Elephas maximus indicus: one gene and its partners. The protein of the gene in region 1 purifies or fractionates together with the protein of each later gene. This does not show direct contact. Links are inferred from orthologs where the notes say so. Each region holds a gene or a part of one and is shown in the gene's direction. Other genes may lie near its edges.

Region 1 (7,535 bases):
TTTTTTTTTTTTGACTCACCCTGTCCACTAGTACATACTCCTTCTGCCAGGATTATTTCAATCTGTCCAGTTTCAAGCGATGTTTTTTGACTCACCTTTTAAAACATTAGTTATTTATTATAAAAGTAATATACCTTCACTGAGAAAAATTAGAATAGAGAAGCAAATGTAAGAAAAAAATCATTCAGAATTCCACCACCTTGCTATAACTACTGCTAACATTTGGAGTAGAACCTTCCAGGCTTTTTGTTTTATGGAAATATATTTATGTAAATGGATTATTTATTTTTTTAATGGGATCACTCTATTTTGTTGTCTGCCCTTTTTTCACTTAATATATGAGGAACATATTTTCCATGTCAACAGATACATATTTAGGTAATCATTCTTAATGGCCACATAGTATTCCATTTGTGAATATACTATACAATGTTTTGCAAATCCTCTCTTGGATATCTAAGTTATTTCCATTAGGTTTTCCCCCTCCTTTAATTAAGGAGCCCTGGTGGCACAGTGGTTAAGCTCTCAGCTGCTAACCAGAAGGTCAGCAGTTTGAACCTACCAGTTGCTCCGCGGGGAGAAAAATGTGGCGGTCTGCTCCCATAAAGACTAACTCCCCCCGCCCAAAAAAACCCAAACCTGTTGCCGTGGAGTCGATTCTGACTCATAGCGACCTTATAGGACAGAGTAGAACTGTCCCCATAGAGTTCTGTAAAGGTTACAACCTTGGAAACTCCATGGGGGCAGTTCTACTCTGTCCTATAGCGTCTCTATGAATCGGAATTGACTTGACAGCAAATGGGTTTTGGTATCTTAATTGTCCCAAGTCCCATTACTGTTCTGAGAATATATTTTAGGTACATGCAAGAATCCCAAATTATTCTCCAATTTCCACCTTACACCTTACACATTTATGTAGAGCTAAAGAAGTTATCTGGATAAGTACATACTACCAGAGCTGTAAGAGTGACAATGTTTCCTCATAAAGCTAGCAACAGGTGGCAGACATATTTTTCCACCATTTTCTCAATATGATTTCTACTGTCCAGGAGAAAGCCCTGTGAAGAATAGAGAACTTAATAAAGGTGAAGTGGAAAGATGAGGTGTGGAGCCAGACAGTCCAGGATTTGAATCTGGCTTTGGTCACTTACTAGCTGTGGAACCTCAGATGAGTTATTTAGCCTCTCTGACTCTCAGTTTTCTCATCTGGAAAATAGGGATAATAATATTTGTTTCATGGAATTATCATGGCAATTAAAAAAAAACTTTTTTTTTTTTATTACACATCATATGGAAAGAACCTAGCACAGTCCTGATACAACAGCGGGTGCTCGAGAAACAATAGAAGTATACTAAAACACAAAAAAAACCCCAATATACTAAAAAAAAAAAAGCTGTTACTATTTCCTTTTCTTTAGCATACACGGCAGCAAAGAAATATCACATTTTCAAAGAGGCCATCATCATAAGTGTCTTCAAGAAGAATGGTGAGAAAGTTTACTGATATGAACAGCATGGTTACTAGAGTTTTAAGCAAGACAGTGTGACCAGCCAGAATCTTTCGTACTAGCTTCTAAAGAACAGTCACCAGTGGGATAACAATGTGGTTTTAAGTCATACTGTGGTTTTGATGATAAATTTCAGACACAGGATAAGAGAAGGAACATCAAGCCCTTGACCTTGCCTTTATGAACTTTACAAAAACATTTAATACCACCAGTGGACCTGCATTCTGGTAGCAAAACAAGTTGGGCTATGTGAAAATGACTACTGGACAACCTCTACAACATTCACAATCTGCCAACATGGACACATTGTCCAGTAGACTAGCATTCACTTTGAGGTTCCCAAATATGGTCTCATAGTTCTTTATAAAAATGTTGCTTTGTTCTCCAACCCCAAGAGAGTGGAGCAATTAAAGACCATTTTGAATGAAGACACATAACAGGAGAAAGCAGTAACAGAGCAAGGTGCTGAATAAGATCAGAAGAGAGGTAACTCTTGTTGAACAAAGTCTATAGATCACGAATTTTAGACAGATTTGCAAATAGGGGTAGCACATGCTCTGTAAATAGCAGCTGCTGCCACAAGTCAAAGGGCAGTGTTTACATGAATCCTGTGGCAAGGACTATTGACCAAGCATCGATCTTTACGGCCAAATTCATATACTTGGGAGCATTTTCAGTGGTGTCTTCTAGAAAATGGAGGATCATATTATACATACATGAAAAATCTTCAATGTACACATATGTTCTGTCCCCCAAATTAATTTCTAAGTTCTTTTTTTTTTTTGGAACTTGGAACACGTTTCCACAGAAAAGGTGTTATAAAGGGATGAGTTTCTCAGATTTCCTCACAAAAGTGCACTGAACCCACAATATAACGAGTATGCTGTACATTTTGCCATGAGAAATACAGTGGAATAAAGTTTCCTTGCAAGCAGGAGCACATCAATACACAATATTTATTTTTTTTTAAATAATATTTTATTGAGTTTTTGGTGAAAGTTTATTCAGTTCCCATTTAACAATTTCTGCACAATTTGTTCAGTGACATTGGTTACATTTAACCAATATTTCTTGAGCCTTTCTCCTTTGAAGCCCCAGGAGAAGAAATGGGATCCTATCTTCCCATACCCACCATACCAAAACGAAACCCGCTGCCATCGAGTTGATTTCAACTCATAGCAACCCTATAAAAAACCCTATAGGACAGAGTAAAACTGCCCTATAGAGATTCCAAGGAGCGCCTGGCAGATTCGAACTGCCGACCTTTGGTTAGCAGCCATAGCACTTAACCACTACACCACCAGGGTTTCCCCCATACTCACAGCTTGGTGACAAAGAAATCCTCCACTGCCATTATCTGGAAGGGCTCTTCTTAAGTTAGGTGGGTGCATGAATTACAGCATTGTGTCTTATGGTCCTTTTTGAACTTTCCCACCAAAGGGCCTTTAAAGATTGAACAGGGAGTGGGAAAGGGTGAGAATGTCTAACTGGAAGTTTCAAGCTTTTCTTTGGAGACACTCCAAATTCTGCAGTCCACTCCTTAATACATCTGCGCATTTTAATAGAAAAAAACTGTGTTTAAAATGATCAGTTAAGAGGCTTAATTTTGTGCCATTTTTTGAGTAAAGTTGATGCTCCAGAAACATGAGCCATTTTTTACTGAGGCTCCCTATTTCCCCTTGGATAGTACACATGTGCACTCCAGGCTAAGAAACATGGGGGCCGGGGGCAGTGGGAATCTAAGTGAGAGGAACATAATAAAAGTAACCAGCACTATCAGCCCCTGCTTTCAGCAGCACACCCCTTCAGTCACCAGTGTCCTGCTCTTAGCCTCTTTTTTTTTTCTCACTCAAAGTCAGTTCCCAGATAGGATCATACACTCATTTGCACTAAGGTGTAAATGATTCAATAATAGCTGAAAAGGTCACATGGTTTTTGCATTAAGGATTCACATTTTTAAAGCAGAAAGGAATTTAGAATATAATCCCCAGGGAAAAGGGTTTTTTTTGGGGGGGGGGAGGGAACGCTTTCCTGCTGTTTCCAGATATCACACACACCTCATTTAAGATTGGTAATTTAGGAGGGTATAAACCCATACCCATTAAGAGGGTATGGAGGGTCTATCAAGGGAATTTGAGCCCTGGTGGCACAGTGGTTAAGAGCTATGGTGGCTGACCAAAAGGTCAGCAGTTTGAATCCACCAGATGCTCCTTGGAAACCCTATGGCGCAGTTCTATTCTGTCCCATAGGGTCGCTATGAGTCAGAGCTGACCCGACGGCACCTAACAACATCAAGGGAAATTAACCATGATTTGTTTTTTTTCACTTTGGGAAGTATTTGCTTCATTTTGGAAATTGTAGACTTTGTGGTTGTTGTTTGCTATGCTGTTTTTTGTATGTTTTGTTATCTTGTGTCCCTAATGACTGAAATTTGAAAGCTTGGATGTAAATCTTCTCATTATGGATCAAAATAAATGTTGAGGAGAAATAGTAACAATAATATTTAATAGTTCCTTTGCATAGTGTTGCACCCTTTACAAAGTGCTTTCATACCCATAATCATGTATATCATCAGTGCTCAATTACTACCAAATAACAACAAAGGGAGTGTGAATAGGAAGAGCACTAAAAAAATCACAGCGATTCAATCCAATCACACGTACTTGGTACCCACCATATGCTACCTCAGATTCTCTGGGACCCTTGACCTTGCCCCCCAGGAGTTTTAAAATTCAGTGGCTAAGGCAAAAGAAAGGTTCTGCAGATGGGCCTTCTGACAGGTATCAGAGTTGGAAAAAAGAGCAAACATGCATAAAACCCAAGAGCCAGGCTTTGCCTTGTGAGTGTTTGCAGCTGCAATCAGGAGATGCAAGGAGTGCTTCTCCTTTTGAAGAATTTAGGATGGTAGGTATAGCTCCACCAATTCCCGCTTAGAGACCTGGGAAAGGTCAGTCCCCAGAGGCGTTCCGGGTTTTGAAAACGGTAAGAATGACCTGCTACAGAACAGTTAGAAGCCGAGGAAAAGTTCTTTGTGCAAGGAGGGGAGAGCGCCCTGAGGTACAAAGAGCAGATTTCAGGCAAAGAGGATTCCTTCTGCACACTTCTGCGAGGGGAGCTCGGCTGACTGTTGGGGGCGTGTGGGGAAGAAGATTTGTAGGGGGCCGTGGCCGTGGGTTCCCGCTTCCACCCCTGTCCGCGCCCCACACCCAGGCAACAGTTGGTCGCGCGGGGCCCGCCCGGGCTCTGGGTGGGGAGGGGGAGTCTCGCGATCGTTGAGGGGGGGTGGAGGCAGGGGGGAGGGCGACGGGGGGAGGCCATGACGTAGGGTGGGTGGACGGAAGTGGGGCAGGGTTGAGGGTTATTTAAAGAAGGGGGGGCCGAGCGAAGGGGTTGGAAGCGGAGTGATTCCTCACCCCGGCTCCATCTAGCTCTTTCCAGAGCAGCCACTGTCGCCGCCCCGGAGCCCTCGTCCCCTTCCTCGTCCCTGCTCCAACGCCATGGAGCCGGACACCGCCGCAGTGGCAGCCACCGTGGCAGCCGCTGATGCGACCGCCACAATCGTGGTCCTAGAGGACGAGCAGCCGGGGCCGTCCACCTCGAAGCAGGAGGGAGCGGCCGCCGCGGGCACCGAAGCCACCGCGGCCACGGAGAAGGGCGAGAAGAACGAGGTAGAGAGGAAGGGGGTGTGTGTGGGGGGCGGACAAACGCGGGCCTGACCCCGCCGAGGGCCCCAACCCTGACCTTTCGGCGCCGACAGGTACCTCCGGAGGCAGCGCCGCAGGGCTGGGGGCGGCGGGCGCGGGCGGGGGGCGGTGGCGCGGCCAGCCGGCCTCCCCTCCCCCTTCCTGTCGCCGCCAGCCGGCGGGGGCGGGGCGCGGCGCGGGCCGGAGGGCGCGGGAGCCGGGCCGGGGGCTGCGGAGCCCCGCGACAGCCCCGGCCCCCTCCCCATTCCCGGAACTGGGGGACGGCGGGGAGGTGGGGCGGTGCAGGAACCCGCCGCCGCCGCCGCCGCCGCCGCCGCCGCCGCTCCCTTTCCCTCTCCGCGCGCCCTCCCTTCCCGGCGGCCTCCGCTTGGGAAATCTGGGCCCTTCAATCCCACCCTCGCGCCGCAGGGGCTTCGCTGCGGCTGGTTTTTTCTTTGCGTTTCAAGGTGCTGGTGGTTGGGGGGCGCAGGATGAGAGGGAAGACATTTCTTTCTTTGCTTGGCAATGTCGGCCTTTTGGATGGCAGAAGAAAATCATTCCTTGTTCTTTCTGTCCCTGCCTGCTGAAGTGGGGGGTGTCACCCCGAGAAAGCGAGCTATCCGCGGCGTGCCCCCCAGCCGCAAGCTGAGGAACCGTGGACCTTGGCTTAGGAAAATTTCCAACGTATGCACCCCCACTCCCTCCCGCCCCGCCCCCGACGGTATAGTGTTTCACTCCAGGGCCACCCAAATGGTCCCCCAATCCGGCCCCACGCCTCCCAGGCTTCCGCCTCCCTCTCCTAGTGGGCGCTGCTGGCTCCTGGACACAAGCAGGTTTTTTCTTTTCTTGATTTTTTTTTTTTAATCAAGCGTCGCCAGGGTGAGCTGCTGCTAATGTACATAAGGGACTTGACACCTATTAAAGCCAACCCCAGAAAATATGTATTATTTCCATAACGCATATTTCATGTGGAACCAAGACGTGCAAATGAAATTATGAAACGCGCTGAAAAATTGAGGTTTAAAAAAAATTGGATGTGGCATATGGATTTTTGATATCTAATAACGTTGCAGAACAGATCGTTTGCGGGTGGATTTTCTCTATTAGTAGACATATCACAATTTAAAAAATGGTGGGTAATTAAAATTATGCTTTAGCGATCTCAAGTGGCTTTGTCTGAATCATTACATGATAGCATACGACCAAATGAAAAGCTTTTGAGGGAAATTAACACCTTTTGTCTTGAATTAAAAGAGTCAATTTTAAATTCAGGACTTGCTTAAGTGACATTTTACTGTTACAGGGTTGACTAAACAGACAATTGTGCTGAGTGAAAACCGTGGAAAACATACAGATATTTAGATGTAGACAGTACTCGGATCAGTAAGATAAAAAAGCTGGGCCAAGTACCAAGCTTCAGTATAAATGTTGGGAGATTAAAAAATGTGTTTATTCTAAAGGTGCCTTCTATTCACCAGATTGGGCAAATGTAAAGTGCAAAGCTTTTTTTCATGTGGCGGTCAAGGTGGTCGAATTTTCCAGGCTGTATAAATTTTTCGATTTCTGAAAAGACTGGGAATCAATTAAAAAAACCCTACCACATAAAAAACAGACCTGATACATATGAGATATATAGATTCATAAACTCTGTAGCCTCATCGGAAATTGTATTTGTCCACTCAGCATGGGGAAATGGGAATGCATGGTGGGAACTTTCTGGATAACTGAAGTTTACTACTTTAGTCACTACATCTTTTTTTTTTTTAATTTTTCCCTTGAAAATCTAAGTATATTGCAAATGCCCTTGCCTCCTCAAATGGTGTGTTAAAAGTACAAGTTATCCTTTTCCTCCTGACCATCAATTATCATATCTAACACTGACACAAAGGCAGTTGAGGTCCAGGAGATGGTTTCCCCTAAAGTAAATACCCACTTCCCAGGCCCTTCCAGTATTGTGTTAATTATTTAAATACCTTTTCGGTGTCCTTCCTCAAGAGTCAAGCTGTCAGCTACCACTTTTTAAACACCTCATCTGCTTTCATCAGAAGGGAAGGACATAAATGTAACAAAATGATTTGAAATCTCTGTAAAATGCAAAAATACAAATGATGAAGCAGAGAAAGGGAAATAATGATACCTGAACACCAAGGATAAGGAATGCTGTTGTAGTGGAACACAGGTATTAGTCCTGTGTTCTTCTTGCTGTTAACAGTGTGCTACTAGAAGTCTTTCCCGTGTCATCTGCTCCTTACTTTATTCTCTGTGGTGTGGGAAGCCAGATTATCAAATTTGCTAGAATTATACGGTGAAACCTGTGAAAGCCGGAATCTGTGTAAGGCAGATA
Region 2 (7,571 bases), on another chromosome or scaffold:
AGCCCCCAAAGGAGCATCACTATGGTTACATTTAGGGTTTTGGAGCAAAGTCTTACTCTCTTTGGCTAATAACTGTTCTTTTTGAGAACTGCTCTTAACTTTGCTCCTGGGCCCTGGCAAAGACAGAAAGCCTGACCTTTGGGGTACCAGGTGACCGTGTAATCTGTTCTGCTTATCATGAACTGAGTATCTGTTTCATTTAGCCATAAATACCCGGTAGCCTTCCCATCCTGAAGAGTACATGGTATATGGAAGAGCAGGCCTGAGCAGGTCCTGGAGAAACACAGGAGTGCAATTCCCAGTTCACTGAGTGTTTACTCCCACTTCACTGCCACTCCTTCCTCAGTCCACAACCCCAACTCCCCATGACCATATAACTAAGAAGGACAACATTTGAGCTTGGTTTACAGATGGTATCAGCTGGAAATGGACTGCTAAAGTACCATAGCTACAGTTGGAAGTGGTCTTGAAGGACAGTGGCAAAAGGACATCTCCCAGTAGGCAGAGCCTTGAGTTGTATTTATTGTGGTTCTCTTTGCCTTGAGAAAGACTCTACACCAAGTCATGGGCAGTGTCCCTTTGGCCAGCTGGTCAGGGACTAAGAGGATTGGTGACAAGAAGTTTTAGAAAGAAGGTATAGATGAACCTCTCAGAATAAACCTAGAAAGTGATAGATTTTGTGCCCCATATGAATACTTATCAAAATATCCTCACTGCTAAGGAAGCTTTAACAAGTTAGAGGGCAAGAAGACCCAACCTGTGAATGTAGGTCAAACTCCTTCCCTAGTAAAGCCAGTACCTGCTTATAGGGGTTATGCACAAAGTGGCAATGGGGGCTGGCACCAAGGTTATAACGGATTCAACACGTGCTTCCCTTCTGCAAAGCTGAACTGGCTATTGCCATTGCTGAATGCCCATGTTGGAAGGCGTCATTATAATGGACTCTATAATGAAGGGGACAGTGAGTCAACTTAATTGGGGAGAGGGTTATACTGAAGTTGGATTTGCTTTCCCCCACCAGCCATACTTATACCATCATCATCACCCTACAGGGACTTACTGAATACCTTATTTACCATCGTGGTATTTTATACACCATGGTATCAAGCATGAGACTAACTTTAAATGAAAGAAATAAAGAAATGGGCTATCCTCTTGGATGCACTAGCCTTATTTACACTCCCAACCACCTGAAGCAGCTAGCTTTACGGAACAGTAGAATGGTCCGAACAGTAGAATGGCCCACGGAACACTCACTTGGCTACAGAGCCAGCTGCAAGACAATAGCTTGGGAGCCTGGATTCCATTTACATTTGGAACCAGCAATTCTGGAGGTACCCATATCTGTCTCACGGAGTCCTTTTCTGTTTCTTTTAAATGAGCCATAGTTGATTTCTATTGCTTGCAACTAAAAATTCCAAGTGCTGTATCTGATCTAGTATATTTTGATCCATCTGAAGTGCTTTTAAAAAATTGACTTAGTTGCTAATATTTAAAAATCAAGAGTTTCCATGTGTAATCCTCATTTGCACCTTCTCTTGAAAAGGTTGAAGACCTGGCCATTTTAGGCCTGTATTCTTGTAGCTGCTCTTTCTAAACAAAACTTGGGTGCTCAGTTTTCCAAAGGCCTCACCCTGCCCACTTTGTTTACTTTCACTGCTCACCTGGTCATTGAAGGCATATAAGTTTGTGACCCTTGGTGCTCAACCAAATTATGTCTAATAAATTAATTTGGCAGTTAGCACTTGCATTTCTTTAATTTTCATTTCACATATGTTCTATTTTTTCACTTACATTGTAAAATATTTGGTGGCCAGAATAATGTTAACTATTTTTCTTATTTATTTATTTTATTGTGCTTCAGGTGAAAGTTTATATAGCAAATTAGTTTCTCATTCAAAGAGTTCTATACAAATTGTTTCATGACATTGGTTACAATTCCTACAATGTGCCAGCACTCTCTCTCTTTCCCCCTGGGCTCCCCATTTCCATTCATCCAGTTTTCCTGTCTCTTCCTACCTTCTCTTTTTGCTTTTGGGTAAGTGTTGCCCATTTAGTCTCGTATACTTGATCTAAGAAGCATGTTCTTCACTTAGTTTTATAGGGTTGTCTAAAAAAAAAAAATTTTTTTTTTTCTAATCTTTGGCTAAAAGGTGAACTTTGAAAGTGGCTTCAGTTCCCATTTAGAAGGGTGGGGGGCCATAGTCTTGGGGGGTTCCTTCAGTCTTTGTAAATTTGAATTTTGTTTTACATTTTTCTCACACTCTGTCTGGGACCCTCTATTGTGATCTCTGTCAGAGCGATTGGTGGTGGTAGCCAGGCACCATCTAATTCTTCTGGGCTCAGGCTGGTGGAGGCTGTGGTTCATGTGGTCCCTTAGTCCTTTGGATTAATATTTTCCTTGTGTCTTTGGTTTTCTTCATTCGCCTTTGCTCTGAATGGCATGGGACAAATAGATGTATCTTAGATGGCCACTGGTAAGCTTTTAAGATCCCAGATGCTACTCACCAAAGTAGGATGTTGAGCATTTTATGAACTGTGTTATGCCAATTGACCTAGATGTCCCCCAAGAGCATGGTTCCCAGCCCTCAGCTCCAGTAACTCAGTCTCACAAGATATTTGGACATGTCTGGTGGCGTAGTGGTTAAGTGCTATGGCTGCCAACCAAAGGGTCGGCGGTTCGAATCTGCTAGGTGCTCCTTGGAAGCTCTATGGGGCAGTTCTACTGTCCTATAGGGTCGCTATGAGTTGGAATAGACTCAACGGCACTGGGTTTGGTTTTTTGGGTTTGAGGAAGCTTCTATGACTGTGCTCCGTTTGTGCTCTATCATATATATATATATGAATATACACGCTGTACATACAAACGTGTGTAAAAACATCCACAGCCTAACCTACATATGTGCATGGGTTTACTCCTAAACGCCCTCCTTCGTCTATTCAGGATAGGTATCTGCCGATGTACCTGCTTATAAGTTATTATTTGTTTTTACTGTTGTTGCGGGACTGTACATGCTGCAGTATTTTATTTACTGTGGTTGCCTTTTATTTTTTTCCTCGTGCTCCTGTAAGTGTCTTCCTTTGTCTTGGTCAGGTTGTGCTGACCTCCCCTACATAATGTGTTGTCTTTCCCTTCACCAAAGTTAACACGTCTACTATCTTAACTATTTTTCTTTGAACCACTCCTTGGATATTTCATATTTTAATAAATACTCACTTATGTTTATAAAACCTTTCTCTTATCCCTAGAGCGTACCTTGGCCAACCTATTAAGTCACCCCGATTTGGTGTGGGGAGCCTGAAATTGCATCATCACGACTCCCACCCTAGACGAAGCTGAGACCCTACTGACTTGTCAGGTAAATAAATAATTTCTCTAGAAGACAAAAATATTTTGAAGCAGGTTTTAGGAGGGAAGTCACCCTTTATGCTGCAAATGAGAAACAGGAAAGTTCTTGCTGCCATTATCAAGTTCCTAGATGGGACACTAGGAAAAGTGTAAAAAGAAAAAAACTAAAACAAAAAAACCCAAACCCTTGCTGTCTGGTGGACTCTGACTCATAGCAACACTAGAGGACAGGGCAGAACTGCCCAACAAGGTTTACCGAGGCCCCCTTGGAGGGGCTGCTGTGTTCGAACCACCAACCCTTACAGTAAGCGTTAACAGCCAAGCACTTAACCACCAAGCCACCAGAGCTCCTTAGAAGAGGTGTCGCAAACTAGAGTGTGGTTGCCTCCTGGAGTTTATCGGAGGCAAGAAGCTTCCAAGCGACTTTCCTTCAGGGTCTGGGAGCCCAGGGCGTGGTTTCTGGCACGGCCCCGGAGCAGTTGTCATTGGGATCAATTTCAGGACTCCAGAAAAAAGCGCTTGGAGTTTCACGTTTCTGGGGGCTCGTCTACGGGGCCCCAGTTAATTTCACCCCGTCGGTAGCACTACCCGGTCCCCCCCGTCACTCGGGCCTCCCCCTCCGTGACACTGTCGCAGCATCATTTCCCCAAGGGGGCGGCATGCAGTATGAAATTTGGGGCTCCCTTGCCCTCCTCTCCGAACCCGGGAGGGGAGACGCGGGAATTTCGGGCTCCGCTGGGGACTCCGCAGAGGCTTTCGTCTCCCGACGCCTTGCGCGGGATTCATTTCTTCAGCGGAGCGCACCTCTCGCTCGCGCTGCGAGAGCCCGCAGGTCCACCCCGCCGCGCCAAGGCGCCCGGGCTCCTCGCACCCGACTGGGCGCTCCCGCGCTCCCCCTAGCGGCCGCCGTGCGGCCTCGCTCCGTCCCAGGCTCGTCGGCGGCGCAGCTCACGTGACCGCGCTCTGGGCCTGCGGCCGCTGTCGGTTCCCCCAGTCACCGAGCGAGAGGGAAGAAACAAGATGGCGGCTGAAGGCGATCCGGAGTGGGGCCCCAGCAATTCGGATTGAGCCTTCTCCCTCCACCCGCTTCCGCCGGCCCGGCCCCTCCCGCCCGGCCCCGCGGGCCTCCCCACCCGGCCCCGGCGCCCCTCACCGCCGCCCCTCCGCCCGCCCCTCCCCCCTCCGCTTTCCCTTCTCCCCCCGCCTCGGCTCCGACATGAGGGGCCGGCGGGGCAGGCCGCCCAAGCAGCCCGCGGCTCCCGCTGCGGAGCGTTGCGCCCCGGCCCCGCCGCCGCCGCCGCCGCCGCCGCCCACGTCCGGACCCATCGGGGGGCTCCGATCGCGGCACCGCGGCAGCAGCCGGGGCAGGTGGGCCGCCGCCCAGGCTGAGGTGGCGCCCAAGACGCGGCTGAGCTCACCCAGGGGGGGCAGCAGTAGCCGGAGGAAGCCGCCGCCGCCGCCGCCGCCGGCCCCCCCCAGCACCAGCGCCCCGGGCCGGGGGGGGCGAGGAGGCGGGGGCGGCAGGACGGGGGGCGGGGGCGGCGGCGGCCACCTGGCCCGGGCCACCCCGGCCCGGAGGGCCGTCAACAAAGTGGTGTACGATGACCACGAGAGCGAGGAGGAGGAGGAGGACATGGTCTCCGAGGAAGAGGAGGAGGAGGACGGCGACGCCGAGGAGACCCAGGATTCCGAGGACGACGAGGAAGATGAGATGGAGGAGGACGACGATGACTCCGATTATCCGGAGGAGATGGAAGACGACGACGACGACGCTAGTTATTGCACGGAAAGCAGCTTCAGGAGCCATAGCACCTATAGCAGCACTCCAGGTACCCACCCAGCCCAGTTGCTGCAGACGCCTTCCCCACCTCCTTACCCTCCCCCCTTGCTCACTCCCTCTTGGGTGCTGTGCATCCTGCTCCGGCCTCCCCCCACCCCCACCGCCCCCCCAAACCGAGGGGAAATGCGAAGGCACATCAAGTGGCAAAAAACTAGATTTACAAGAGGAAAGAGGCGCATTGTTCAAAATGGAGATTGCATTGTTGCACTTTGCAGGCCACACTCGCTCGCTCTCTCTCCCCTTAGCCCCCCTTTTTTTCTCTTCAAAATTTATGCCAGTGCAATGTCTCCACCGGGCAGGATTGAAACTTTGGCACACACACATCCATTGCATTCATTTTTCTCCCCTTGTTTTGGTTTGGTTTTTTGGAATGAAAGAAACCACTTGTTTTTGCAAACCTCTTTGCGTTTCTAATGTGGTTCTTTTAGATTTTTATGGTCTATCTGCTCCTTAAAAGGGGGTTTAGGGTTTAGATAGATTGTGGCAGACACATAAATACACACAAACAAACAAAACTTTCTTCCCTTCACTCCCCTAGCTATGTGGTTTAAAAACTGTGTTAAGGAAATAGATCAGTTGGGTTAGTAGAGGAAGCCTTACTTATCTGGCCCTGTGTGTTTGTTTTTATTTCTTGGGTGTTAATGGGCTCGTGCAACAGTGGCTGGTAAATGGCTGATTGAAAAGCAAAGCAGAAAACCAAACCCAAAGCAAATTCGGTAATTCATCCGATTCAAAATCATTTGGGTAAAATCCAAAATAAAAGTAAAAAACCGCAGGAGCATGCCGTCTTACTAATTTGATGGCGATTGCTTTGCTTGGGAAAGACAGTTTCATGTCACCTGTTGCAGAAGACGCGTAGTTGATCACCCAGACATAATTGCTGAAGATGACCACTTGGACCAACTTCTAAGTCACACAGCAGAGATACTGGGGGGAGGAGGGCTATTAGAAAACAACTTTTGCTTTTCACTCTGTTTCTGAGGCTGAAAGTCCATCCAGGATCAGTAATGGACTTCTTCGTGGTGACTCCTCTCCTGTTTTCTCTCAGGACGTTTCTCTAGGTTGGTGCTGAAATGCCTTTTGTTAAAAAAAGAAACAAAAAAATACAACACAATTGCTGCTTTGTATTAAATACGTAGTTGCAGCTTACTAAATTCTGGAAAAAAAACAAACAAATATGTAGCAAAAACCTGCCAGACATTGTATTTTGGTTTGTCTGGGTTAACTAAATTAGAATCTGGTTTTAAGAGCATTTACAAAGTAGTTTATGAGGAAATACGGGGATCTTGGAAAATTAAGGTGTGTTACTAGTGTTTAAGAGAGACTAGGGTAGAAAAAGTAGTTAAATTGAAATGTTTCCATTTTTTGCAAATGCTTCAGTACCTATTGGAGAAGTATGAAACCGGATATAAACCTGTTTTGGTTGTCTTAACGTGAAATGGGAAAGGTAGTGGCTTTTGCCTGACAATGAGAGCGTGTCTGTCTTTGTTGAGGGTGGAGACAGGCAGGGGAGAGTGAAGGTAATGAATTAAGTGTTAAGTATTTGTCTTTTGTATGTGAAAGGGACTGCACAAAAGTTTTGTTCCTTGCCAGCGTAATTTTAGTACATCTTTTTATAGTAATAAGTTTTTTTACTTTAAGAAATCACACATGTTCACTTTCTACCAAGAGCCTAGAATTGAATGAACCATAGAAACTGAATTTCACTGTTGGAGGAAGTTCTTCCAGGTTAGAGAGGAGCTAAGGCATTTTTTGGTATGGCAGTTTAGCTAACTTTAACTCCTGTTTGAAGGCCTAACAAATAATACTTTGGATTGTTGGCTGTGCATGGGCTGAATTACATGACAATTCGTGGTCTGGTTTCCTTAAAAAAAAAAAAAAAAAACTTGTGTATTTATGACGTATCTGTGACATTTTTTTTCCTAATGACGTTTGTAGTCTACCTTGTGTATACTTGTCCTATCCCTTTATAAAATTATTAACTCCTTAATGAGAGATCTTGATCTCATCTCCCTTGCGCCTCCTAGTCATGCCCATAGCAGGTGCTCATCAAAGGCGGTCTGGATAAGCCATAGTTAGTAGGCGAGAACTTGAAATAGATGAAGTTTTGATAATTCCCTAGTGGGTGCTATAACTCGTAAATGTTTTGGTTTTAGTAAACTAAAAATTGGTCTAATTAGATTTTAACAGTTTGACTAGCAAATTTTTAAATAGCAGAGTTACTGTGTTTTGAAATGCTGTTTAGTGTTGCTTGCCAGGCATTTTCCTTTCTTCAGGGGATACGGTGTTAACTTCTTGGTTGTTTTGCCTTTTGAAACTCATTATTTCTCAGTATTATGGTAAATGGAGGAGAGAGTTTGTGTTCTGGACTTTCAGAATATG
Region 3 (7,716 bases), on another chromosome or scaffold:
ACTATATCTAGAGGCATTTTTATTTGTTACAGCTGAGGGTGGGGTGCTACTGGCATCCAATGGGTAGAGCCCAGGGATGCTGCTAAACTTCCTGCAATGCACAGGACAGCACCCCCAAAAAACAAAGAAATATCTGATCCGAAATGTCAAGTGTCAGGTGAAGAAACCCTGATCTGGGGGAAAAGCATTCCACTCAGTGGAAACAGCAGGTACATAAGTCTTGGGATAGAAGTGTGGAGTATGTGAGGAACAGAAAGGGCAGTAACGGCTGGACCTTGGTGAATACGGAGGGGAGGAATGCAAGATGAGGTCCATGAGGAAGGCAGGACCTTATAGGGCCTTACAGACTATCACAGAGAGTTAGTGAAACAGAGGAGTGAAGAGAGCTTTTAAGGTGGAGGAAATTGCATGAATAAAGTGTCAGAGACAGAAAAGTACAAAAGGAAAGCCAGTTTGGCTCAGAGTTAAAGGTGGTATCAGAGCAGAGAGGAGCTGGAGAGTAAAGAGGCTACCAGCTCCACAATAGGGAAATTTGGCTGTATTATTCTATAGTACATGAAGCACTAATCATGGACTTTGAGCAAAGAGATATGAGCAATATTTTCTGGAAACTTAATCTGTTGGTAGCATATAAGATTTAGAGGGGAAGAGGCAGGGAGACCAGCTCAGAAGACCCTGCAAAAACCCACAAACGAGGTAATGAGGGGCTGGTTCAGGATAAAGAGGTAAGATCAGAAAGCAGGAGAGGCTGAAGGACAAAGGCACAGAAACCAGGAGCTAACTGGATGAGGCAGCTCCCTCATGCACACCATGGGCATGGCAGGGTTGGAACTGTGTGCCTGTGCATCTATGCGAAGCACATCACAGGTCCTGACTGGGAGGCACAGCTGTTTTCCAGGGTTTCAAGTTCTAGAGAACCTGAAAGTAGCCCTACCCTTTCCTATACTGTCTTTCAAAATCCATTGCCATCAAGTCAATTCCGACTCATGGCGACCCTATAGGACAGAGCAGAATTGCCCCAAAGAGGGCAAGGCTGTAATCTTTACAGGAGCAGACTGCCACATCTGTAACCCAAGGAACAGCTGGTGGGTTTGAATCACTGATCTTTTGGTTAGCAGCCAAGTGCTTAACCACTATGTCACCAGGGCTCTCTTATACTGTCTTTAGCCTAAAAGAAATCATCAAAGGCTGCTTAAATGAACAGGAGAAAATAAACCGCTCCAGGGCCACAACCAGTGCTTTGATTCTAGGCAACGAGGTCTTCTGATTTTGAAAGTCTAAATTTTCCACAGATTCCTATCCCTTAGCTTCAATATCAACAAGCACTAATTGGGTACCTAGACTTTACAGGAGGTTCAAAAGAAAAAGTCATTCCTTCTGCATTCAGGGGCTTACAAACAGTTTTATATATAAAGTTATAAGGTAAGACAGTATGTGTGGAAACTGTTTCCTGATGACCTACAGATACTGATGAGGTACCCCCAAATTAACCAACTCCTAGAACACAGTAAGAATGCTTTCTTTGGGTTTTCCCCTCTGTTTTTACCGCTTCTTTAACTGAATTAGCGTTTTTTTTCTTTTAACTCAGCATTCTCAAAGTCTTCTGTATGGGTAAGGAAAGTCATAACCCAGATTTTGAGATAGTAAGCTCTTAAAAGTAGATTCAATGATAATTTACCTGCCTTGAAATTTGGAGTCAAACTTTGAACCCCGAGACAACAAAGAGTGAGTCTTAGCAAAGGTAAATCCCGATAAACAACGCTGAGCACATCTCTTAGGCCGGAGGGAATCTGAGATATTTACAATAGTGAGCACTGGGAGTTTATCTGAGAAAACAGACCAGAAGAAACTATGTAACATGTCACCTGGAGAAGAAGGTCAAACAAATACTTTAAAGACTTGTGAGGAAGGAGACAGGCGCTGGCTAATATACCTTCAGTATCCAGGGGAGTTTTGCAGGGTGAACCCAGCAATCGAGGGTGGCCCCTCTCAATCCTGCGAAGAGCTGCCCAGCATTGCGGATGCGGACAAACAGCAGAGGCACAAGTGGTTTCATCCCACTGGTTCGCATCTGGCAAGTCCATAGCCAAATGGCTTAGAACAAAAGCCAACCCTGCAGCTTTCTAGCCTTCTGGAGAAACGACAACCACATAATTAAGAGTGCATTATACATTAGCATCCGCAGGCGTTCCTTGGAAACTCTATGGGGTAGTGCTACTCTGTCCTATAGGGTCGCTATGAGTCGCAATCGACTCAACAGCACTGGGATACATTAGCCATGCAGTCCAGATCTTTATTTGGACTCAAAGTATAAAACATTTCTATTGAGCCCATATAGATAAACGGTGGTCATAGGATAATTGGAGCCCTGGTGTGATGCAGTGGTTAAGAGCTCAGCCGCTAACCAAAAGGTCAGCAGATGGAATTCATGAGCCGCTCCTTGAGTTCTACTCTGTCCTGTAGGGTCACTATGAGTCGGAACCAACTCGACAGCAACGGATTTTTTTGTAGAATAATTAAGGGTTTGGTAGAAGCAAGTATGAAAACATCTCAGCGTGAGGCAGAATGTCAACAGTTTAGAAGTAGATTGACTTCAGAATGTCTCGCAATTGGCCATTTGATAGCTGAGTAAACTGGGACTTAACCTGTTTCATTTGTAAAATGAGGATAAGCCTATTTCACAGGGTTATTACAAAAATTAGTTAACAGATATTAAAAGGTCTGATATATGTTAAGTGCGTGGTGTTGATTCAGACTCACAGTGATCCCACGTGACAGAGTAAAGCTGCCCCATAGGGTTTTCTAGGCTGTAATCTTTACAGAAGCAGATCACCATGTCTGACATATAGTTCATAAGAAACATTACCATCCTTTTTCTTTTCCCCTTCATAATCATTAGAAATGCCACCATTTCCAAAAAGCCTTATCAAATTACAATTAAATTACGGAAGTGTCTTAGCTCAAAAACGCAAAGAGCAACCACTTTTTCTTTGAAAGACATGCTTCATTTTTCAGTATGTGCCAATTCCCATGCAGGCAGCTAAAATACCCACCAGGAATGAATGTGTTTGGTCAAACAGCAAACCAATAACCTTGATGTGATTACATCAGAGGCCATTAATTCTCATTTACTGGCTGAACGGTCTTGAGCAAGTGATTTCACCTTTCTGAACCTGTTTCCTCATATAAAGTAGGGAGAAATAATCCCTAAGGAGGACTGTAAAAGTATTAAATGAGATAATGTACATTTATGTGTAATACGTAATAGGAGCTCACCAAATGTTATCTTGCCTTCTCTAAAGAAGCTGCAGATAATCACTACCACCCTAATAGCTCTGTAAGGGCAGTGCCTATTTCTTCTTTCTTCTATGCAACACGTATTTACTGACTACCAGGTACCTGAGGGGAACTGTCCTGGGCACAGAGAACAGTAATGAACAAGATAAAGTCCCTGTTCTAAAGAGCTTATAATTTAGGACAGAGATACCAAACTACTGCCCTGGGATTCCATCTGGTCTGTGACTTGTTTTGTCTGGCCTGCACTTTAGACATAATATTTTAAGAATTGATGTCCAGATTTCTGCCCCATCTTAAAAAATCAAAATATCTAACAATACTGGGCCTAATTCCAACACAACAGGAAATGACTGGAGCTGATTAGCTTCTGACATCTTTAAACTAGGTCTGCTACATCCAAGTGTTCCCCACCTGACCCTATAGCCTCTAACCGAAGCAGTTTCAGTTGCCATTTATTAGCACATTTGCTCTGCTGTTTTTCTCATAATAGGGAAATATTTCTCTGTACCCACGTCTCAATTAAGGGCAGGAAAATGAAAGGCTGGCTTAAGAGGACCACGTTTCAAGAAAAAAATAAGTAGAAGTGAGGACAATTTCTACGCGTTTAATATGAAAATACAAATTAAAAAACTACTACAAAACTGAAGGACTCGGAAAGATGTAAGGAGAACCATTTTATGAATTAAAAAATACAATTTTAACACGGTTTGTTTTCAATGTGACTGAGTTTCGCTATTCTTACAACCTACTGCTCCGGGTCCTTTCGTTATATGCCCAACCAGAATTGAGCCCCGAGATCTAGCCACACCCATCTCAATCCCGCAAGCATTAGCGTTGCCTCAGCAAGGTAGCTTGCAATGAATAAACTCTAGATATGAGCTATTATTAGTATAAGCATTACAAAGTTGGCAGCAGCGAAAAAATTAAGGATGAACATCAGCTCCGCTAGAGCTGGAGAAAGAGTCCCCGCTTCGTTTCGGAAAAGAGAAGTGGGAGAAACTGGCATCCGGGAGCCACAATTCGCGGATCCAAAGGAGACTTCAAAGCAGTAAGAGTTTAAAGCCAGGCGGGAGGGCGTTGCTCCTCGCGGCGCGGCCGTCAGCAGGCCCCGCCCAGCCAGCTCTGTTCACACCTCCAGGCCCAGCCGTCGCCCAGCAGCGGCGCGAAGCACCAAGGGAAACGGACGGAAACCCCAGTGAGCCATACTTAATTTGCAGCGAACGCGACGAACGTGTTAGTAGCACGAAGAAGAGAAATGGGGCTGGGGTGGGGAGTTCCGGGCACTGTGGGGCCTGAAGGAAACCCCAGGGGGCCAAAACCCCTGATGCGTGGAAACTCTGGAAGCGCCGGCGACCGGAGGCGGGGCTGGGGTGGGGCGATAATGCTGCGCAGGGCACTGTGGGACAGTGTGGGCCGTGTGGACCGGAACGGAAGCCTCCGTGGGTCAGACCGCATCGACGCGGGAAGTCCGGACGCCGTAGTGGCTTGAAGAGGAGGCCTGAGGCGGAGGCGCTGGCCTCGGCAGCGGCAATGGCAGAAAGGCCAGAGGACCTAAATCTGCCCAACGCCGTCATCACCAGGATCATCAAGGAGGCGGTGAGCAGGCCAGGCTAGCGGGTGGGCTGGGCCGGACGAGTGGGCATGAGGGAAACAGGTCCTGGGTGGGCAACTTTGCTCACCGCCGCTCTCTCACAGCTCCCGGACGGCGTCAATATCTCCAAGGAGGCCCGGAGCGCCATCTCCCGTGCCGCAAGCGTCTTCGTGCTGTATGCCACGTCCTGGTGAGCGGGGCAGAGTTAACCAGAGCTCAGCTAGGGTTGAACCATTAGGGAGGCTCCGAGAGACCCTTAGCTGGGGAGTCTTGGCCCGGAGCCCACAAACCCGAATGATTGTGTGCTGGCTCCGTGGGGAGAGGTTCACAGCTTTCACCCAGTTGTTACAGGGTGTGAAACAACAACAACAAAGTAATTTGGCTGTAGTCCTTTTGTACAGGTAAGGGAGGGACTTAGCTGTATGACACCCACAAAAATAATGCATCTAAGTGGTAGGCTTTTCCAGTCCAACTCAGGGTGCGCTTTTCCTGCCCGCTCCAGAGGCATCAAGAGGGGGTCTGACAGCCTCTAAAGGCCCTTTCTGCTTTTCCTCTTTCAGTGCCAACAATTTCGCCATGAAAGGGAAGCGCAAGACGCTGAATGCTAGCGATGTGCTCTCAGCAATGGAAGAGATGGAGTTTCAGCGCTTCATCACTCCGCTGAAAGAGGCTCTGGAAGGTAACGACCCTTCCGTTTTCTCAGCCACATAGAAGATGGTCATCCTGTGTGACCTGCTCACCTGGCCCTGAGGCGTTTTCAGCATGGGTCCCCTAAAGTCCTGTAAGCCAGTACTGGGTGTGACTCGGCACCCATTCAGTTTGCACCACCTCAGATCTGTTTTTGATGCGGGCAGGTTATTCTTCCTTCCGTGCCTCAGCTTTTCCAGCTATGGAATGGAATTAGCTGCTGGAGTCTGGTTCACTCATCCAGCCCTGCCTCCTAACCCCCTCTTTCCTCCTTATAGCATACAGGCGGGAGCAGAAAGGCAAGAAAGAAGCTTCAGAGCAAAAGAAAAAGGACAAAGACAAAAAAACAGATTCGGAAGAACAAGACAAGAGCAGGGATGAGGACAACGATGAAGATGAGGAAAGGCTGGAAGAAGAAGACCAGAATGAGGAGGAGGAGGTGGACAACTGAATGGGATGGGAAGACTGGCACCTTGGAAGGTACCACTTTGAAATATGTGATACACGTTTATGTGAAGCTTTTACTTGCTGGGCAGAGCAGTCTTAGGTGGGAGTACCTGAGAAGATGGAAATAAAACTGGCTAGAATTATTATCAAAACTAGCACTTCCTAGACTCAGCGCATCTGGGTAGCAGAATCTTGTTTTGCTTAATTAGTCTGAAGGTTATGACTTTTTGACAAGAGGAATACTGAGCAGCTAATTCAATGAGCCAATTTGATCTCTCTTGTTTAGTTATATATATGGTTAGGCAGTTTTTGGTTCTCACTTCCTTCCTCCCTGTACCTCCCAAGAAAGTAGTAACTTTTATCCTGCCTGCTGTGTTCCCGATCACAGTCAGCCGAGACTCAGGAAAAATTTGGGCTTTGATCATGATCAGCCTATATTTGATTGTACAGTATTTGTCAGTACTAGCTTATTAAGAGTGATAAGCGCAATTTAGGTTTTAGAGACTATTAAAAAGCTGTGGGAGAAAAATGAAACCCGTTGTTCCTTCACTTGACAGTGAATCTTGACAGACTCCCTAGACTTAGAAGTCTTGTGTATTGCATATAGCTATTCAACTTCTTGGGGTGGGTGCACTCTGGGCATCCATGCTTTTAAATTAGCACCGTAGAGTGTAATTAGTCAAGCAAGGGTGCCAATGTCTTATTCTTACAAAACAGGTGGCTTAGTCTTAGATGCACCTCACTGCCTGCCACTGTACAGCTTTAGGATTTATCTTCACCCCCCTAGAAGGTGTAAAATCCCAGGCTTTCTCTCACAGTCCATCTCTCAGACTTGAGACCAGCTTTTCATTCTTCAATTCATGATGAGTTCCAAACTTTATAACCTCAATGCACAACTTTTTCCATTTGTGGTTCTCTTGTTCTGTCTACCTGCCTCTGCTCTGCTTCCCATTCCCACCCTTTCTCTTTCCTTTTTTCACTTCTGTCAGTTCAGAAACATTGATAACCTGCTTAATATATAAAAGTGAAGGTTCCTCTGATTCCTTAGTTATAATCTCATGCCTTTTAAAAATGATTCTGTAAAACTTCTCTAAACGTTAAGCAAAATCTGATGGTGCTCAGGAATATAATTCCCCCAAACCATCCATCCCCTTAACTGCTTCCAAAGTATTTCTGTTGGCCTTTCTTAGCCTTTTTCTCTTTCTCTTCAGTGCTCCAAGCACTTTTTGTCTCTAAGTTGAATGCTTAGAGTTTGACAGTGAAATGTAGTTTGATACTGTTAACTTGTCAAATGAATACAGTGAAAAGTTTGTTGACGAGTGAAGAATCTTGAGAAAACTATAATGCGTTGTATAAATAAAGAACATTGTTGTTAAAAGTGATGACTTCTGTTTCATTCTCCTTGTTCATGGTGTGCTTTTGGAGAGGATGGCCCAGTGATTATGCCTCATACGATTCATGGTGTATTACTGAGCCAGGCTTTTATAAACGTGGGGTTCTGCATCACCTTGGGTGACCAGGAGGTGCCGCTCGTTCACAGGCAAAGAAGCTGTTCTTCAGCCACGGCAGAAACCTTCACTGATGACTGACTGCTGGGATCCTATACCATACTAGATTCTCAACAATTCCCAACATTTCTGGAGCCCCTAATGTGTGCCGGCATTATTTTAAGTGCCTGCAAGTATTAGCTCTTA
Region 4 (7,691 bases), on another chromosome or scaffold:
TATATTGATTACATGTTGAAATAATACTATTTTAGATATATTGCGTTTAAGAAAATATATTATTTAAATTGAATTCAACTTCTTAAAACTGATGCATAGTTTGAAGAAGATAAATCTGGCTACAGTGGGCAAGATAGATGGACTCTACAGCAACGGGTTTGGTTTTTTTGGTTTTAAAAAGGAATTGAGTTTTGAGTGGGTTATGACCAGAGAGGGTGAGTTATAAGTCATTCCAGGCAACTAAATGATCAAAAGGGAGGAGGCAAGGAGATGGCATTGCGTAAGTGAGCCAGTACGGCAGGAGGAAAGGAGTCACTGGTGGGATAGAGGTGAGGGTGTGGAGAGCAGATATGGCTGGAAAGGCAGGTTGAAACCAAATTGTGGCAAGTCTTGAATAAGAATCTACAGGACCCTTAGAGTATGGCCCTTGCACACCCTTTTAACTCACTACTGAAGTCACTCCTGAGGTTTACCCTTCAGCCAAAGATTAGACTGGCCTGTAAAACAAAACAAGTCTAGACGGACATGCTGACCTAGGGGCAAGGACAAGAAAGCAGGAGGGGACAGGAAAGCTGGTAACAGGGAACCCAAGTTTGAGAAGGGGAGAGTGTTGACATGTCGTGGGGCTGGCAACCAATACCACAAAACAATATGTACATTGTTCAACGAGAAACTAATTTGCTCTGTAAACCTTCATCTAAAGTACAATTTAAAAAAAAAAGAATCCACAGGACTTGAGACTGTCTCTCATGTGCAAGTGAGAGTCATTGAATTTTGAGCAGATGATCGACATGACTGAATTTAAATTTCATGGAAGTTAATCTGGCTGTATTTTAAAGATTAAAGCCATAGAACTCAAGAATCATTTAGTCCAAGCCCTTCCTCTCACAGATGAAGGTATAAGGTGATTAAGAGCCTTTCTAAGAGAGAACAAAGATTTCCTGCATACTAATCTGATTCAATTTCTACAATTTCTAAGAATTTAAATTAGCCTGGCATATAGCCCTCTTCAGAGTCCCCGGGTAGTGCAAATGGTTAATGAGCTTGGCTGCTAATCAAAAGGTTAGAGGGTCCAGTCCGCTCAGAAGTGCCTCGGAAGAAAGTCCTGGCAATCTATATTGAAAAATCAGCCACTGAAAACTCTATGGAGCACAATTCTACTGTGACACACATGGGGTCACCATGAGTCAGAATTGACTCAATGGCACTGGTTAACTGGTTACAGACGTCCTTAATCTAGATTCTAGGAGATAAGGCTGGAAATAAGTCCAGAAAAATAGAGCTGAGACTGTAATAAACAAATGGTCAAAGCAGGGTCAGTGATTCAGAGTATCAGTTCCAACAGAGGTCCACGGGAGACAGTCAGCGGAGGTCTAAATGGAAGGTTCTGTTGTTGTTGTTGTTAGGTGCCGTCGAGTGGGTTCCAACTCATAGCAACCCTATGCACAACAGAACGAAACACTGCCCGGGCCCGTGCCATCCTTACAATCGTCGTTATGCTTGAGCCCATTGTTGCAGCCACTGTGTCAATCCACCTCGTTGAGAGTCTTCCTCTTTTCCACCGACCCTGTACTCTGCCAAGCATGATGTCCTTCTCCAGGGACTGATCCCTCCTAGCAACATGTCCAAAGTATGTAAGACACAGTCTCGCCATTCTTGCCTCTAAGGAGCATTCTGGTTGTGCTTCTAAGACAGATTTGTTCGTTCTTTTAGCAGTCCATGGTATATTCAATATTCTTCGTCAACACCACAATTCAAAGGCGTCAGCTCTTCTTCGGTCTTCCTTATTCATTGTCCAGCTTTCACATGCATATGATGCAATTGAAAATACGATGGCTTAGGTCAGGCGCACCTTAGTCTTCAGGGTGACATCTTTGCTCTTCAACACTTTCAAGAGGTCCTTTGCAGCAGATTTGCCCAATGCAACGCGCCTTTTGATTTCTTGACTGCTGCTTCCGTGGCTGTTGATTGTGGATCCAAGTAAAATGAAATCCTTGACAACTTCAATCTTTTCTCCACTTATCATGATGTTGCTCATTGGTCCAGTCGTGAGGATTTTTGTTTTCCTTATGTTGAGGTGTAATCCATGCTGAAGGCTCTAGCTAGAGCAAAAACTCGGAATTCAGAGATCAGATTTATGGTCAGGCTCAAGATATATTAGGCTCCTTAGCTCCTGGGGCTAAGAACTGATTTCCGACTCAGGGTGAAGGCTGAGCTAGGAATGGGGTGGGATGGAGGGGAGTAAGATTACAGCGATAGATGGGGAGGAGCCAAGCAAAACATTGCGGAGAGTGGACCAGGGTTAGAGAATGATAGAATTAAATAGGTGTAAAGATGACCTGCAGGATCGTACGGGCATTGGGTGCGGACTCTCAGAAGAAAATGGCAGCTAGAAGTCAGGTCACACATTAGGGAAAGAAAGGTGCTGAGAAAGAGAGTAGGAGACCAATCTCCAACCACCACTAGGGGGGCACCTCCAGTTCTAGGACAGCCTTGTTGATTTACAAGACCTGGCTTGGTGACGGGGGTCGGGGGGCGGGGGGGCGGGGAGAGGAAGACAATAGAGTAACCTCCAGTTTGGGGTAGGAGGTGGAGGGAAGAAGTTTGTAACTGGCATTCAAATGTACAAGAGTAATTAACGAGTAGCCAAATCTTCTTCTCACCGGTTACTTCCTGGTATTAACATTTTAGGCACTATTATTACTAGTCTGGCTAGTAGGGACAATTGTGAGGACAGCTAAAGAGGTTAAACAACGATAAAAGATAAAGGCAAGAGTGAGCAGACAGATGAAGAATCAGGAAAAAGGTGGGGAAATAAGAGTCAGGGTATAATGGATTAGAAACAAATATGAAGAAAAACAGCATTTTTAAAATAAGGAGAGGAAAAAGTGTGGAAAGTGAAATTGATGGATGAGGAAATGAAGAGAGACAGGAGAAAAAAGTCAGAAAACATCTAATTTAGGTTATATGATTAATCCCACAGTGGCTTGTCGCCCTTTTCACATCTCATCTATTAATGGGATATCTATACCGTAGCTGAGCTTTAAAAACACATAAAAATGTTGTCTTTGCTTTTTGGGAACATTTATATGTGTGCTCACTTTTGTCAAAAATTAAAACATGGTAGAATTTGAGGATGAAAAAGCACAACTCCTCGGCTGTTTCTATTCCGCAGAGAGAGAGCAATGCTAGAAGATGAAGTATTTAGAGATTAGCTGATTCCCTGAAGACACACGTAAGTATACATTTTAGGAATTTGTTTTTGAATGCTGGCTTATAAAAACCACAACAGGTTATTAACATGATCAGAACAAAGTAGGGGAGGGGTAGGGGAGAATTATCCAGACAGCCCACTCCAAAATCATCTAATAAATTCGTTCATCATGTTTGCCATTCCCTCCAGACTGTATACTGCTCAGAGGTAGAAGAGGGTCTTTGATTTTATCACCGTACATACATCACTCAATACATATATGATTAATTTTGGGAAGTGTCAGGGGCAGTGCTTCCTGAGAGGAAGACTACAGGAACGAGCTAAGGCCCTTTGAGGCTTGAGTAGAATATAGTTCTAAATAATTGCAAAGACCAACGTGCCTGAAAATAGCTGGGCATTCAACGTAGTTTTTCAAAACTTCTAGTTTGTTTTGGAGGTGATTTTTTTTCCTTTCGGGTTTAACACAATTCTAACAAGCCATAGTATTTAACATTTCTAAAGCCCACGCCTCAACACCCTTCTCCTAGATCACATTCCCTTAGCCTAGGCGTGCGTCTCCACCCCCACCAGAACAAACTCCCCAGACTCTCGTTCGCACTTTCCCCATCCCCCAAGCTTTCTAGCCACATTGTGCGCACTCTTCCAGGCAGCTTTTCCACCGCGAGGGCAGTTGCAGTGCTCATAACCCGTCTTCTCTAGGGCGGTCACACGTGTCCATTCCCTGGGGGGGGGGGGGATCCCTCTTCCCGCATGGCTGCTGATTGGTGCCTCCCCCCTACCCCACCCTTCCCGCTGCTCTGCAGCCTCCATCCTACTTAGTTCCAGCTTAACCAGCCCCACCACCTTTCTCCTTTGGAGAAAGAGCCACTTTAGATCTCCTTGAAGCACTGTTCTTGAAGGGAATAAAAGCGTTAAAGAACAGGTGGAAACCACTTAATTTCTCTAGGCCTCATATTTCTGGGGTGGACGTCCCACTCGTTCCCCTGTACTACCGTCAGTATCAATAATAACTGAACTCCCACACGTGCACGTTTCTGGATCTAGCCCCTACCGAAAGCACCACCCAGCTGGCCCTTTAAAAGGACGCGACCACTAAGGCCACGTGGGGGGTGGGAGAGACCCTTATTGTCTTCCAACATAAAAGTAACTAAACTCTTCAGTCCTAACCGCCTGGAAAGCAGAGTATATGTAGTAGTAATTCATAGGGCTGCACCTCGCTCCCTTCAAGTCACACTCCCTCTCTTTCTTGGGGTGCTCAGCCCCCCTCCCCTCCCCCTTCTCGTTCAATGCAGCTGTCCAGGCGGGGGGGGTGGAAAGTGGGGGCGGGGGTTGTTGTTGTGGTGAGGGACGGCCCCGCCCCCTCCTCGTGTGCGGCCCCTCCCCCAGGCCCTCTGTTCGGCCCCCTCCCCCCCGCCCCTCCCAGCCCCATCTGTTTTCCCCAGCGGTGAGATGATTATATTGTATGGGACTGGGGGCGGCCTCAGCCGCATAAGCAGAATGGGGCGAGCGCGCGGACCCCGCAGGCTGCGGGAGCAGCAGCCGCCTCAGTAACTCGGGCCCTCGAGCCGACGCCCCCCGCCTGGGTCGCCCGCCCTCAGCTCATGCACACGCCGAGCGGCGGCAGCAGCGGGCGTAGCAGCCGCCGCCACCCCCGCCGGAGTAGCTGAGGCGCTGCGCCGCGGCGGGAGTCCGAGCTGAGCGAGCCGAACGCGGACAGCGTGGGGCCGCCGAGGCGCGCTTCGAGCTCGGGGCCGCCGCCACCGCCGCGCCTGGGAGATGTGCCCGGAGGAGGGCGGCGCGGCTGGGCTGGGCGAGCTCCGCTCCTGGTGGGAAGTCCCGGCCATCGCACACTTCTGTTCGCTCTTTCGCACCGCGTTCCGCCTGCCCGACTTTGAGATCGAGGTGAGTGCGGCGAGGAGCGGGCGAGGCGGCGCACAGTGCGCCCCTTTCTCCCTCTGCCCCACTCGGGGAGTCCCGGAACATCCTGAAGGACGGAGCTGGAGAGCGAGAGACTTTTGCCTGTAGTCGGGAGCCAGGAGAAGGGGTCGGAGGTGGGGGGCGCGAGGCGCAGAGGGGAGGAGGGCGGGCGGGAGCTCCTCCGGGCTTTGCAAAGGACGCCAAGTGCGGGCGTCCGGGTTTGGGACTTTCTCTCGGGCGGTCCCTGTGCTCACCCGCGGCTTCTAGAAGAAGGCGGCGAAGAGAGTAGCGGAAAGGAGGAGGGAGAGCCTCTGCTTTTGTAGGAGTGGGAATGGGGGGCGGCTCTCCCGGGAGTTCTCTGGAAGGAGAGGCTGAGTGTGGTGAGAGAGTGCGTGCGCGCGCGCGCTCCCTTCCCGGTGCCATTGAAGCTGCGAGCCAGCTGCTCCGGGCGGGGACGGGGTGCAGGCGGTCGAGGGGGCTGGGGGTGGGGGGCGCCGGCGGTGGATTAACTCGGACCGCGGGCGGGGAGGCGGGCGCTGGGGTTGCTTGGGGGAGGAATCTGTTGTGCTGGGGCGAGACTCGCCCCCACTTCGGTGGGCGCGTTGGGGGGGGGAGTCGCACTTTGCAGACTCCCGGAGACCCGCAACTCTCGGGGGGCGCTTTGGGTTAACTTTGGGCTGGCGGAGATGATGGCCTGGGCCGGGGGGCGCGCTCTCTTCGGAGGAGCAGCTCCGGCATCGAGCCCTTGCTCTGGGCTTCGCGGCTGCGGAGGGAAAGTTTGGGACTCCGTTATTCTTTTCCAGCCCCTTTGCTCTCGGAATACTGCCGTCTTTATTCGGGGAGCTCTTTGAGCTGATTTCGCCACCATTATTAATCCGGGCGAGCGTGGAGGAAAGGGATGGCTTTTCTGGCCAGGCCGAAGGTGCTTTCAAACCCGAGGCTTTGTGATAATTGAACTAAAATCAGAGGGTCATAGTAACAGGGATGGTGGCGGGAGTATGAGGTACAGAATGCTCTAAAACAGGCACCTAGCCCCACCAGCCTCCATCCTCCTTTATATTTTTATTTTTGGCAGGGGGTGTGAAATATTTGATTGGTTGGCAGGTTGAATTGCTTTCTCCCTTATGGCAATATATGCAGTGACTTGATCACCTTTTTTGCCTTTGGACAAAGGTAAATGGAAACTATTTGTCGGTCAGGTTTTCTTTTCAATTCTGCCAGTGGGTTCGCCGAAGGAGTCGTCAAAATAATAATCACTCTTGTGGAGGAGGAAATCGTTGTTGTTCCCTCTTCATCCCGACCACATAGGTTACTTTCTGCCATTTTCTGATTGGTTTTACTCCCAAGATTTTGGCCTTAATCTTTATTTCTAGATTTAGTCGTGTTTGCTGAAATATCATTTGCATCTTACTGTGAATGAAGTGTGGGTACTTGCTCTTGTTGCAGAATTAATGAAATCGGAAAAATAAAAAGATCAAAAGGGGGTGGGATGAGAGAATGAAGAGGAATGTAGACTGATAAACTAGGGCCACTCAATGGCTTTTAGCGATTCTTAGTACCTTAAGCTGATTAAAACAATGTGATTAAATCATAGGCTTCCCCCATCTGTTTTTTTAAGGAGTGCTTAAGAACTTGGATATTTTACATAGCACCACAGCATTTGTTTTCAAAGTTTGAAAGCGAATGTAACAAGCATGATTTTTAATAAAAGTGTTTGTGGGACTTATTGGAAAATACCTTAGACAAATATTTGTATTGACTTAACCAACTGAAGAAACGGCCACAGAAATTAAAGATTTGGGAATGTTAAAAGTCAGGAGATGTTTAACAATTCTTCTCACGTCCTGCGTTTTCTTTTAGTTGGTATAAGATTGTGGCTAGGTTAATTATATCCTGCTGCTCAAAATGGTGGCTGTTGTGGGAGGTGTTGAGGCTTGGGACAATGCCATTTTGGGTGCTGGTAAACTTGCCCTCTAGTAGCCCTTTTTCTTCCTTGCAAGATTATAAAGTTGAGGTGATGCTAAGATTTCAAATTTAGTGTTTAAGACCCATTCTACAAATACCGTGGAAAAATTCACCTCAGAGTTCATGTGCATGTTCCCATTTTGTTGGTTGAATAGTAGAGGTAACTAATTTTGCCTTAAATCCTTATAGTACATCTAGAGTCGTCTATAAATAACTCATCTTCCGGTTTTAAGAAATAAACTTGTGGTTTCTAAGTATTAGCTGGCTTGATTCCTAAAGGAAATGTAAGCCGATCAAAGATTTGTATGCATAACAGAAATGAAAAATCATTCTAGTTACATGGTGAGTAAGCGCAACCATTTGAGATGACTGTCTTCTCTTTTGATTCTAGTGTTTCTTGGAAGTGACACTTTTTTTCGTGAAGCATATGCTATTTGAAATACATACACCACGAATGAATATTTGGGATGCAGTATACACACATTTTAAGAACTACTCACACCTGTCTTGTTTGGAGGTGTTCAGTAAGATGGATTACCAATGATAGTGACTTTTTCCCTTTGCAGTTGTTATGTAATATTTTTCTGGTTAGGTG

The links.
Region 2: the proteins of SMARCA1 (region 1) and BPTF purify together in Homo sapiens (affinity purification with mass spectrometry; 4 studies listed by BioGRID and IntAct, with this or other methods). This does not show direct contact. The link is inferred for Elephas maximus indicus from reciprocal best matches to the Homo sapiens genes SMARCA1 and BPTF.
Region 3: the proteins of SMARCA1 (region 1) and POLE3 purify together in Homo sapiens (affinity purification with mass spectrometry; 3 studies listed by BioGRID and IntAct, with this or other methods). This does not show direct contact. The link is inferred for Elephas maximus indicus from reciprocal best matches to the Homo sapiens genes SMARCA1 and POLE3.
Region 4: the proteins of SMARCA1 (region 1) and cat eye syndrome critical region protein 2 purify together in Homo sapiens (affinity purification with mass spectrometry; 3 studies listed by BioGRID and IntAct, with this or other methods). This does not show direct contact. The link is inferred for Elephas maximus indicus from reciprocal best matches to the Homo sapiens genes SMARCA1 and CECR2.

The regions. Positions count from the first base shown.
Region 1 is NC_064846.1:26,951,768-26,959,302, forward strand, and holds the start of SMARCA1 (probable global transcription activator SNF2L1), read left to right. Parts: upstream 1-4,507; 5' UTR 4,508-4,565; intron 4,566-4,936; 5' UTR 4,937-5,005; coding exon 5,006-5,176; intron 5,177-7,535.
Region 2 is NC_064837.1:56,115,818-56,123,388, reverse strand, and holds the start of BPTF (nucleosome-remodeling factor subunit BPTF), read left to right. Parts: upstream 1-4,529; 5' UTR 4,530-4,565; coding exon 4,566-5,178; intron 5,179-7,571. UniProt on the Homo sapiens protein: Regulatory subunit of the ATP-dependent NURF-1 and NURF-5 ISWI chromatin remodeling complexes, which form ordered nucleosome arrays on chromatin and facilitate access to DNA during DNA-templated processes such as DNA replication, transcription, and repair.
Region 3 is NC_064827.1:62,659,286-62,667,001, reverse strand, and holds POLE3 (DNA polymerase epsilon subunit 3), read left to right. Parts: upstream 1-4,696; 5' UTR 4,697-4,827; coding exon 4,828-4,893; intron 4,894-4,992; coding exon 4,993-5,078; intron 5,079-5,448; coding exon 5,449-5,567; intron 5,568-5,853; coding exon 5,854-6,026; 3' UTR 6,027-7,398; downstream 7,399-7,716. Other genes in the region: C9H9orf43 (uncharacterized protein C9orf43 homolog), read right to left, coding at 1,683-1,826, 1,934-2,084. UniProt on the Homo sapiens protein: Accessory component of the DNA polymerase epsilon complex. Participates in DNA repair and in chromosomal DNA replication.
Region 4 is NC_064822.1:55,490,765-55,498,455, reverse strand, and holds the start of cat eye syndrome critical region protein 2, read left to right. Parts: upstream 1-4,651; 5' UTR 4,652-4,990; coding exon 4,991-5,116; intron 5,117-5,321; exon of another isoform or gene 5,322-5,462; coding exon of another isoform or gene 5,463-5,511; intron 5,512-7,691. UniProt on the Homo sapiens protein: Regulatory subunit of the ATP-dependent CERF-1 and CERF-5 ISWI chromatin remodeling complexes, which form ordered nucleosome arrays on chromatin and facilitate access to DNA during DNA-templated processes such as DNA replication, transcription, and repair.